Linked DNA regions of Lepisosteus oculatus. The protein of the gene in region 1 binds, or shares a complex with, the protein of each later gene. Links are inferred from orthologs where the notes say so. Each region holds a gene or a part of one and is shown on either strand. Other genes may lie near its edges.

Evidence for each region.
Region 2: polr1c (region 1) and polr2h share a complex: the UniProt entries of both Homo sapiens proteins name them as parts of the pol I pre-initiation complex. The link is inferred for Lepisosteus oculatus from reciprocal best matches to the Homo sapiens genes POLR1C and POLR2H.
Region 3: the proteins of polr1c (region 1) and polr1b are in contact, whole or in part, in a cryo-EM structure (PDB 7OBA), measured with the Homo sapiens proteins. The link is inferred for Lepisosteus oculatus from reciprocal best matches to the Homo sapiens genes POLR1C and POLR1B. Residues at the interface, in NP_976035.1 of Homo sapiens: Ala70, Asn74, Arg77, Arg78, Leu81, Ala82, Gln102, Asp103, Glu104, Ile105, His108, Leu112, Lys220, Asp221, His222, Ala223, Thr230, Ser232, Tyr233, Arg234, Leu235, Asp281, Thr282, Phe283, Ser284, Glu286, Arg289, Arg301; in NP_061887.2 of Homo sapiens: Arg713, Gln715, Lys761, Ala762, Glu765, Arg766, Gly767, His770, Tyr774, Gly816, Val848, Arg872, Pro874, Glu900, Asp901, Phe904, Glu906, Gly908, Lys967, Gly970, Tyr971, Asn972, Phe973, Tyr974, Arg978, Tyr980, Ser981, Gly982, Ile983, Ser984.

What each region holds. Positions count from the first base shown.
Region 1 is NC_090712.1:17,543,618-17,547,368, reverse strand, and holds the start of polr1c (DNA-directed RNA polymerases I and III subunit RPAC1), read left to right. Parts: upstream 1-1,209; 5' UTR 1,210-1,744; intron 1,745-2,016; 5' UTR 2,017-2,025; coding exon 2,026-2,145; intron 2,146-2,416; coding exon 2,417-2,488; intron 2,489-2,604; coding exon 2,605-2,712; intron 2,713-3,206; coding exon 3,207-3,339; intron 3,340-3,452; coding exon 3,453-3,572; intron 3,573-3,751. Other genes in the region: protein YIPF3, read right to left, coding at 798-869. UniProt on the Homo sapiens protein: DNA-dependent RNA polymerase catalyzes the transcription of DNA into RNA using the four ribonucleoside triphosphates as substrates.
Region 2 is NC_090708.1:19,016,607-19,020,357, forward strand, and holds the start of polr2h (DNA-directed RNA polymerases I, II, and III subunit RPABC3), read right to left. Parts: upstream 2,352-3,751; 5' UTR 2,169-2,351; intron 580-2,168; 5' UTR 573-579; coding exon 500-572; intron 283-499; coding exon 199-282; intron 1-198. UniProt on the Homo sapiens protein: DNA-dependent RNA polymerase catalyzes the transcription of DNA into RNA using the four ribonucleoside triphosphates as substrates.
Region 3 is NC_090712.1:16,003,969-16,007,719, forward strand, and holds the start of polr1b (DNA-directed RNA polymerase I subunit RPA2), read left to right. Parts: upstream 1-910; 5' UTR 911-936; coding exon 937-1,113; intron 1,114-2,022; coding exon 2,023-2,190; intron 2,191-2,571; coding exon 2,572-2,718; intron 2,719-2,810; coding exon 2,811-2,943; intron 2,944-3,588; coding exon 3,589-3,725; intron 3,726-3,751. UniProt on the Homo sapiens protein: Catalytic core component of RNA polymerase I (Pol I), a DNA-dependent RNA polymerase which synthesizes ribosomal RNA precursors using the four ribonucleoside triphosphates as substrates.

The DNA.
Region 1 (3,751 bases):
TCCAGGCTGTGGCCACTGAGCCTGTCCTCTCTGGACAGCCAGGTCTGCCTGTATCCACTTTCTATGTCCAGGCTGTGGCCTCTGAGCCTGTCCTCTCTGGACAGCCAGGTCTGCCTGTATCCACTTTCTATGTCCAGGCTGTGGCCACTGAGTCTGTACATGTGTACTCCTACAGCAATCCAATTTGTGTTGTGTTTCTCAATATCTTACCACATTACTGGGCGGAGCTACCCAGGAGCTACAGCAGACGTGCTGGAGCTGAAAATTGCAGGACATTTGGCATTTTATTGAGCTACCAGCACTTTCACCTAAAACTGGACTGTTCTCCAAATATCAAGCCATTCATGAAACTGTTCACAAAAGGCATCGATTAAAGCGAATACAAAAACTGAGTCCGTTTCAAAACAACCGAAACAACACCTATTATCCACAAGGCAGCAAATTCTAAACACACAACAATCTCAAGACACTGGTGAAAACGTCTCCACCTTGTGAAAACAAAAGGATAGGAAGACTTACAGGAATGTAGAAAACGTCAGCAAAAAACAACAACAACAACAACAACAACAACAACAACAACAAAAGCTGATGAAAGGGTAGTGGTGACTGGAATTTATTTTTAATCGTTTTGTTACGATATTCGGCGACGCTTTTTGTTCATCGCTGGTACAGACGATTGTTTTTTTTGTCTTAACTAACGCTGGCTGCGCTAGTAGAAAGAAGGAGCGGTGTTTTAACTAGAAGGGACGGTATTATCTCCGAAGTGTCAGGAGAGAGAGAGAGTCGCTCTTGTTTACCTGAATCAGGTTGTCATCGAAGCTGCCCCAAGCCTCGCTGTTGGTGCTCTTATTTCCTCCCGGCGCGGACATCTTCGGACACGCAGGACTGTCACTCTTGCGGGGACGGAGCCCTTATATGCTAAGACTGAATATGCTCGCACAAAGGCAGGAGAAAAGTCGCTCGGCGAGACCCCCAGCTCGGCGCCGCTGCTCGCTCTCGGCCACCAGGAAGCACACCCAGGCCTGGAGACGTGGAGCTCGCGGGACCTCTCGCGAGACGCGAACGTGACTTCAGCTCTTGTTTCGTGTGTGTGTGTTTGCACAGGAACAAGTGAAGGTTTATTCCCGGGCTGGAAAGAGAAGAAAAGAAACGCAACGTTTCGGATGTGGGGCCTTCTTCTCCTTGACGCCGGAAGAAGGCTCCACAGCCGAAACGTTGTGTTTCTTTTCTTCTCTTTACAGCATGGGATTGTTCCTTTGCGACCTACTTGAACTATCTTTTTTTTTTTTTGTATTGGTGCTTGCAAGAGGTCCGGCAGTTTCCCCTGAAATATAGGCAAAATCTGCTTCTTTTTTCCGCTTTATTTCATATAAATGAACAGCGCTGAGCTATGCATCAGAACGAAAAGTGTCAGGCGCGCTATCTACAGTTTTTAGCTCCAAATCAAGAGCAATAGGCATGTTCTTACACAAAGAGTTGTGGGAGTGTGGACACCAGCTACCCAGCCACGCTGTCGAAGCCCTTATCCTCCCTTCTTTAAAGAAACATCTAGACGAGCTCCAGTAGAGTTCGATTAGCTACTATTAACAAAAAATAGCTAGACAGATTAAACAGCCGCCTTTTATATGCCTTAATTATCTTAATTATTGCAGGCGATAGTGCATGACCGCCGTGGAACGCACGCGTCCACTAACAACATCTTCCAGCAGCAGCCTTAGTTTTTCCCGGGAGCTCTCCCATCCAGGTACTGACCAGGCTCACAGCTAAGACCTCCTGCTTAGTTTCAGTGGGTTCGTTGCCAGGTGTGAGTTGCAGGGTTCCTGGCATGAGCTCGACCATGAAGGAAATAAAACATACTAGGGTACTGTGAGTTACAATAATATAATATATAATTGCAATACTGATTCTTTTTTTAAGAATTTAGTGTCAGTTAAATAAAAGTAAAGTTTATCATTAAATAACGGAACTGCATTGTCAGGAGTTCTCAACTTGACAGTTATATTTTTTATTGCAAAGCACAGCTCGATGAGCGGAAATGACGTTGAAGAACAGGAAAATCAACAGTGTGCAGAAATGGCGGCGCCCAGGAGCAACGTGGAAGAGATTCGCGATCGTGTGATTCTGGGCGAGTTTGGGGTCCGAAATGTGAGTGCTTGTTTCTAGGTGGTGGAGAGATGCTGGTTCCTCATAGGCTATGAGATAGTACAAATAAAAACGTATTATTATTGTCGTAAGAAAGTTTGTTGTGTCATGTGTACAATTCTATGCCGACGACAGTTAAGTAACCGCTTTTCCAGATACGCACACTGTTTATGAGGCAGACTCGTTTACAATTTCTCTCTTACAATGTAAAGCGTGTTGTAAAATACATAACTTGTTTTGGGATAAGGGGTAATTAAATGTCTTTTCTTCAAAGGTTCATACGACAGACTTCCCTGGTAATTATCCCGGGTACGATGACACCTGGAACCGGAAAAAATTTGAAGAGGTAAAGATAAAACTCGGCTGTAATCTTTGCTGTCAGTAGCTGTTGCTCATGGAAGAGGTTCCCTGCGCTTTTGTTTATCATGTGTTTCAAGCAACGCGAGTATTTTTATTTTACAGAAGTTTAGAATCGACGTGATTCGAATGGATGAAAATACGCTGGAGTTCGACATGGTGGGCATTGACGCTGCTATCGCTAATGCATTCCGTCGAATCTTACTAGCAGAGGTAAATATCGCCCGAAAATAACAGGCTCTCAATTAAAAAAAAATAAAATAAAATGTGTACTATTATAATTTTTCCTATTCTACGTATATCTTTTTAGCTGGTAAATTCTACTTAAGTCTATTTTCTTTTTGAATTGTGTGGACCAATGACTGTTGAATATTCCTTAGCTTGTATGATGTACTTACAGGAAAATAAAAAGTAATATTAAAATAAAACCTTAAGGTGACCGTAGCTGCAAATTTAAATGCACACTTCATGGTGGCTCAAGATAGTTTCGTGAAAACCTGTTTCAGGCTGTGGGTGTTGTTGCAGAGTGCTTATTTTCAGTTATCTGAAAAAACCTGACCCATTGCTTGGAATAGCCCAGGCTTAATTCTGTAATTAAGACTGACACCTGAAGAAGGCTCCACGGCCGAAACGTTGTGTTCTCTTTCTTCTTTTTTTCAGCATGGAATAAACCTATTACTTAATTCTGTAATGCTGTCTTTGCTAAGGTTCCCACGATGGCTATAGAGAAAGTGTTTGTGTACAACAACACATCCATTGTCCAGGATGAGATTCTGGCACATCGACTGGGACTGATCCCCATCAAAGCAGACCCTCGTCTTTTTGAGTACCGGAATGCAGGTGAGCAGAATCATCGTTGGCCTCTGTAGTGGAAGTTACAGCCGTCTCTCAGTACAAGCTGCATTTTATCCTGAGAGAAATGATGTGGAAACTGTTTTCATATGTTTGCACAGGGGATGAAGAAGGCACAGATATTGACACAATTCAACTGCAACTAAAGATCAAGTGCACCAGAAATCCAAGAGCTAGCAAAGATTCCTCTGATCCCAGTGAACTCTACATTAACCACATGGGTATGTTTTGTTATTTACATCTGGACTCTTGAGTCAAGAGCATGGAGTAGCTGGAAAGAAGAGATAACTGCAACATGCCCTTAACTGAGGAAGGAAGCATTGGTTAGCAGCTCCTAATGTGCTATAACTAACAAAAGCAGTTTACTGTACATGCAGTCTTTCCAATTGGAGACTGTTAA
Region 2 (3,751 bases), on another chromosome or scaffold:
TGAATCACATCTGTACTTTACTTTTTATTTATACTAGATTACAGACCAAAGGAGACATTTCTGATTCTCTCCATTTCTCCTGGGTAAGTAAGCAATTCCCACCCCAATGTTGTTTCATTCTCTAAGTCAATATCAATGTACTGCGATATACAGCTGCTCCACCCTCCCCGAGTGTGTCAGAGTGTCAGTGCGCCTCACCGAGGTCCACGGGGTAGATCTGGATGTTGACGTCCAGGATGAGGTCCATCTTGAAGGACTCGCTCTCACAGTGCAATCGAGACACTGAGAAGAAGACAACAGCACTTGTGAAAACTGCCTCTTTCAGAAACAAACACAGTCACGCCAGCCCTGTTTTTAATTTATTGAATCTGCTGATGTTTTTAACCAAGGAGACCTCAAAGGTCTGCTGCTCCACAAATACAGAAGCAAGTTTAGCGTCATCTGCCTTTCAGACTCTCCATATGGGACACCGTACCTCACCCCAATCAGTCTTTCTCACCTCTGTCAAATTTCTTCCCATCTGGGTCAATGTCCTTCACATCGAATATGTCCTCAAACAGGATTCCCGACATGTCCCACCTGGTGACACAGTGGTGATTTAGAAAAGTACAAATTGGAGAGCACAGCACAGTGATATTATCCTCTCCACCCCGTGTGGCACAGTGACATTCTATAAACTATACAAGGCAGTGGGCATAACTACATGCTTTACAACAAAGATACACTCTTTTTACAAACCATAAAGATCTGCTACTTATGAGTGTGCAAAACCTGTACAAATCCAAGCTACAGTATACCAAAAACTGAAACAAATCCAAGATTACTTAGAGAGTGAGGTCAAAAGTTACAGAATCAATCTTTTTTGTACATTTTAAGACATTATGAAACAGGCCCACCGCAGAGTTTTAAAATGACACCAAAATCCTGTTTCTGTGCCAATAACAGAGGTAGCCTTGACTATGTAAAGTGAACAGCACATCACTCATACCTAATACTTCCATTGTAACCATTTCACCCAACACGAATACATGCAAAATACAACTGAAATCAAAGGTGAACTAAATTGTCTTTCTTGATTGGTTTCATGTGGAATGACCCGTGTAATGTATTAACAAAATACAGAAACAACTAGGCCTACAAGTACAGTTATATTACAAAGTAGGGTTAATGACTTTTGGATGTCAGAGAAGCATAACACACTGACTGTCTACAGCAATTCAATCTAGAAAGTACTATCCCTAACAATTTTGCAGATTCAGTGTGTTCCATTGGAAATGTCCCTGCTATACACATGCAAAATGCATCCATCCCAACAGCTATTTCCTGTAACGCTCAGTGAACAGAACAGGGGGAAACAACTGGAACCCGGATAAAAGTCAAATGGGCACAGGGGTTCATGTGATGCCTGGCTTAGAAAGAACTGTACTAGAAAACATTCTTTACACACCTTCCTCAAGTTTGGAATGGGCTACAAGGATGCTGAATTCTGAAGACAGGACCACTGGGAGATTATCAGTGCTGAATGTTCACAACTGACTAGTGGTTCCACAGTCATTGGTGAGCATTAAACTACTTAATTTTTAAACAATTTCTGTAATCCTAACAGGCTAACCTAGGCCTTTGAAACAAAAGCACTTAATTCAGAGCTGGTCACTGCGCAGCCCTTCAATTCCTCCTCACTGTACAATTTGTCTACAACACACTGCTTAAGTACTGAATTGACGATATAACAATTATGGAGATGGTGTCAAAGGATGTAATTGGAGTGAATTGCAAAGGTCGCAGCTTGTGCAGCCCTATCTTAGTGTATAAGAAAAATGACCACCAGCTGACCTGCTATTTTCGTTATCTTTTCTTCCTGTTCTTACACAAATACATAAATGAATACCGTTTCACTTCTGTCAGTATTTCAGCCTGTTAACAAGATCGAGGAGAAGGTGGCTCATATCAGTTGCATCCTGGAACTAAGGCAAAACAAGATCAAACTACAGATTCTAGATACAGAGTCCGTCCTCCGAGCAAACCGCTATCGGAGAAGCGAATCGGATATTACGTACAGACTTTTAACGCGCGTTAATAACATGATTGAATGAACATGAACAACTATTGAGTTATAGAGACTACTCAATTACTACTTCACTCGATTCAATGAAAACAGTTGCACTTACTCTGTCTCCCTCGGTGCTACGAGCCACAATAAGCTGTTTAATTCACACCAGTTGGCAGTCTAACAAATAAATCAATCCAAGTTTTTTTTGTCTGCGAAAACTTCTAATTCATCAGTACAGAATCGCAACGCGCGGATTCACAGCATGCTCAACCTCCAACCTCTGACCCTCAGTCTGAACGTCACACTTACTACTTCCGGAATCATGGACCAACAGAACGGATGTTTCAATTTCGAGTACCGAGATTTAAAATTAATATAGATGACAAATGTGTTTTTTGTGACAATAGCCCTGAAACTATTCAGCATTTGTTTTGGTTATGTCCCAGGGTAAAAATGTTCTGGACTAAGTTGCAGAATTATATTAAAAAAGAGACCAATATTGATATTTCTTTTGTTGAAAAAGATATTATGTTAAGTTTCAGCCCCAGTGAAAACAATATAAAATTTCGTTTGTAATAAATTTAATTATTATACTGGCACGTTATCACATACATAAAATGAAATGGTCTGGGAGATACCCTGTGTTTGAGTATTTTAAAATGGAAGTAAAGGGGTATTTGCAGACTATTTCGAAATGCAAAAATATGAAAGCGGTGCTGGCATTAATTGTATTTAATTTGTTTAATCTTTTTTCATAACTTGAATTTTATGTAGTAGTATGTACCCCTGACGATATTCTTGTTTTGAATTGACATATGTACTCTTGTTTGTATTGTAATTTTTGTTCTTTTGTTAAGCATAAATAAATAAAAATTCGAGCACCGTGTCCATGGAGACGGTGATGCGTATATGTACGGCAGGCGAGAAGTGAAGCAAATGTGATTGAAGACGATACTGTACGATACTCTGATTATTTGCACATTATGTCCGGACAATTAAAGCAATTAAAAAAACTAACAAAATATGTGTAATGTTAATGACACGTGATTTATTTTAACGCAAGATTGTAAAAAATCTGGAAGTAATTTAATTTAGACTACTTTGATAATTATTACTCCTTTATTTTGTTCTTAGTTTTAAACCAAAATCTTGTTATTGTAGCTGTAAAGATTTCCAAGTTCCATGAAGTGCCTAAGCATTGTTTGATATTCTGGATTGATGTGAATGTTTGTGAATGCAATCTGAGATGATTGCTTTTGAAAAAGCAATATTTATTTGTTGTCATTACATAATGTGAGCACATTTGTGAGCATCAAAGGTTCAATTTATTTCACCACGTAAAATGTTTGTGCGGTTAATTTTAATAGCCTGGGAAAAAAGCAGCAGACAAAATAAATTGCTGTTATTATTAATAATTTATTTTGACTACTGCATTAGTAATATTAAAAAACACTGTTTAATTAATAATTGCTTACACTTATATAGCGCTTTTCTGGACACTCCACTCAAAGCGCTTTACAGGTAATGGGGGACTCCCCTCCACCACGACCAATGTGCAGCATCCACCTGGATAAATAAGTGTAACAAATACGCCTCTGCGCATTACAGGGATGTTGGCCACCCGGGCTATGAAGGTCTTCTTTAACTCAGCCGGCAATATTCCTGTTGAGAAACGCCGGAGAGCCGGTTTCGCGCCCATCC
Region 3 (3,751 bases), about 1.5 Mb from region 1:
ATTGAAACATCTTTTGAGATAGGATCTTTTATATTTCATATGTGTTGAGAGCACACGTTTTTGCCCTCCACCGTTGTTCCAGTACTGTGTCCTAACCATGCTTACTGCAGTATCAGTGCCTGTCTCAGGTTTGATGGAATATAAAAAGAGAACTGGGAGTTATTATGCAATGATATGCAATGTGGCCAGCTTCTTGCACAGTTACAATAAAGTTACAGGTATAAATAAAATGATATGCCTTGTATATATTGTAGATGGATTTTTCTCTTCAGCTCACTGACAACATCTCTGCAGGGGGACTTAAACAAACAAACCTCTGGTAGGATTACAGTCACATACTACATTATACACGTGTTAGCAAAGCTCATATCACGTTCATAATCACATGACTTCAAACATACAAAGGAACAAGTAATAGTTTATTCCATGCTTAAAAAAGAAGAAGAAAACACAACGTTTCGGCAGTGGAGCCTTCTTCAGATGTGACGTGTGCATTTTCTTTCTTCTCTTTTCAGCGTGGAATAAACCTATTACTTGTTCCTTTGCAGCCTACGCTTGCTGACGCAGCTGCCCACCATGACTTCAAACATGACAAACAACGCCTAGTTGCGCTCCCAACCTTTAAACATGATGCTCCGGCGCTTGTCGCTCGTTGGACCTCTCTAAAGGTATTCAGTTTCATACAGTACGTTCATACAGCAAGGTCCATATGAACCCATTGCAGTTTTATTCTCAGATAAAGTCTAAATCCCGAAGCACACATTCTCATACTAGAGAACCGCGGGTGTCTAAGGGACCTAAGGAGATACGAGCTATGCTATAGCTCCCCGAGCAAACAGCCCTTTGGAGGACCAACAGCAACAGCAAGAGCAAACCGATCGAATCTGAGTCAAGGAAACTCTGTGGTGCTTCCGGCTGCTTCCGCTGCCATTAAATATGGAGTCCACGTTAGGACGGGGTGGTCCGTGCTCCGGTCCGAGTCTGAAGAACTTGACTGAACCGGGTTTCGGAATTCCTAAAAATGAGCAGCATCCAGCTGTGCAAGAGCTTTGCCGAGCGCACATTGATTCGTTTGATCAAGCGGTCACCGACGGGCTTTGTCGTGTTGTGCAGGTTGGTGTCTGTTAGTTTCCCGTACTCCAGGTTCACGTGTTTACAGAGCTGAGTATCCCACGTGGGGCGGGCTTGTGCAAGAATGCAGTTATTTTGTTAAAAATACCACTATACAATTTAACAAACTGGTAAAGGTGTGGGCAGATGCGAGCCAGTAGCGTCATAGTCCTAAAACAATACGTTTCTGACTTACTTTTCAGGTGCTTAAAGTAAGTAGTGAATTATTTCAAGAGCTGAACAGCAATGACTGGGCAGGGTTGATAGTATTTTAATATTCCTCATTTGTGCAAAACAGTAAAATAATAGGTTGTTTATTATTAATTATAATATTACTGCTTTTCTGGACACTCCACTCACAGCGATTTGCAGGTAATGGGGACTCCCCATCACCACCAGCGATGTGTAGCCCACATCTGGATAATGCGACGGCAGCCAAAGTGCGCCAGTACTCTCACCACACATCAGCTATCAGTGGGGAGGAGAGCAGAGTGATGAAGCCAGTTCAGAGATGGGGATGATTAGCAAGCTATGACAGGTAAAGTCAGGGGGGGAATTTGGCCAGGATACTGTCCAAAATCCCTACTCTTTTCAAGAAATGCCCTGGGATTTTTAATGACCACAGAGAGTCAGGACTTCGGTTTTACATTTAATCCAAAGGACGTCACCGTATAGTGACACAGTAGAGTGTCCCCATCACTGTTCAGGGGCATTAGGCCCACACAGACTGCAGGGTGAGCGCCCCCTACTGGTCCCGCTATCATCTCTTCCATCAGCAACCTTAGCTTTCATTAAGCTTTGCTTTGTGTTTAACAAAGCACGTTTCGTCAGACTTCACCAAAAAAAAAAACAGCCTTGTGCATCCAGGTGGTGTTTTTATTATGTGTTTCTGATTTCCTTTTTCTTTTTTAGGCCATCCCGCCACTGGAGTTCATGTTTAAGAATGATCGTATTACCCTGGCATTTGAGGAGGTCACAATCAGCAACCCGGTGGTCACTAAGGGAACGATCTGTCGTGACCTGAGAGTTTTCCCTGCAGAATGTAGGGGTAGGCGCACCACCTACAGAGGGAAATTAGTAGTAAGTGTCACCTTGACTTGCTCTTAAAAATCACGCACATAAGGAAAAGCAATTCGTATCTCATAAAGGTGTTTTACTGTCCTTTGTAAACTTAACATAACTACGGTGAAAATTGCATTTTTCGACAACTTAACTACAAGTTAGACAACTGTAACGGCTAATTTCACTCCTCATTGCATTTAGTTAATTGATTGAACTTGTATGCAGCTGGTTCAAAATATATGGTTTTATAATAGATAATAATAATAGTTATCTTAACCATGGTGTGTTATGTGAGAGCAAACATACATAATTGCTAAAATGTTCAGTATTGAATTTATAGTAGCGATAATCAGTCAATTTTGATGATATTTACTTTTTTCTTTTGCTTTGTGTTTCAAGGCAGGTGTCAGCTGGTCAGTGAATGGCATTCCCAAAGGGATTATCAAGCAGTCTCTCGGTTGGGTGCCAATCATGGTGAAGTCCAAGCTCTGCAATTTGCACGGTCTGTCTCCAAAAGAGCTCATTGCACATCATGAGGAAGCAGAGGTTGTGAATTGCTTTATGGACATGTGAACATCTTTTGCTGCATGATCCGTTCCTTCGGTTCAGTTTCTAACATCGCCTTCTGTGTGTGACAGGAAATGGGAGGGTATTTTATCATCAATGGAATTGAGAAGGTAATTCGACTGCTGATCATGCCCAGGAGGAACTTCCCTATTGCAATGGTGAGGCCTAAATGGAAGAGCAGGGGCCAAGGTTACACACAGTACGGTAAGATTCACATGTCTGAATTTCCCAATTAGACCGTGAAAACCTTTTATTTCAAACATTTTATTTATTTTGTGTAAATGGCACAAGAGACTAGCAATTAGCACAATATGCAAGGACAGCAGACACAGAAGACTGAAGAAAAGGGGTAAAGGAAATAAATGTCATTTTGGCCACTGCAGTGTGTTCGTGGACTTCACCACAATAGCATAGATAGTCTTTTTAAAATGTTTTAATCCTTCATTGCTGATAGGAACAATTGTTCCGTGGCACAGTGATACAGGGTGAAATTTTAGGGAGCTGTCAGTGTTGCAGACAGAGGCAGAATAGGATGTCACATGTTTTCTGTAGTGTGGGATAGTGGTGCAGTGTTCAGCATTGGCGCTTCGTAGCGCTGGGGTTTAACTCTGGACCTGGGATGCTACCTGTGTGGTGCTATCAAGAAAATTGGCCCTGGTGTGAGTGTACATTTTTGTCTGTTTTTGCCCTATGAAGGAGTGGCATCCTGTCCAGGGTGTATCCTACCTTGTGCCTATTGCTTGCTGGGATAGGCTCTACTGCGACCATGAATTGGAAAAAGCAGTTGGAAAATGGATGGATGTTTTTTGTAACTTGAATTTAACATTTTGACATGTTTTCTCCCTTCAGGTGTTTCAATACGCTGTGTAAAGGAGGAACACACAGCTATTAACATGAATCTACACTATCTGGACAATGGAACGGTGATGGTGAACTTCATCTACCAGAAGGAGCTCTTCTTCATTCCTCTGGGATTTGCCTTAAAGGTGATTTTCAAGATTGAGGTCTTACG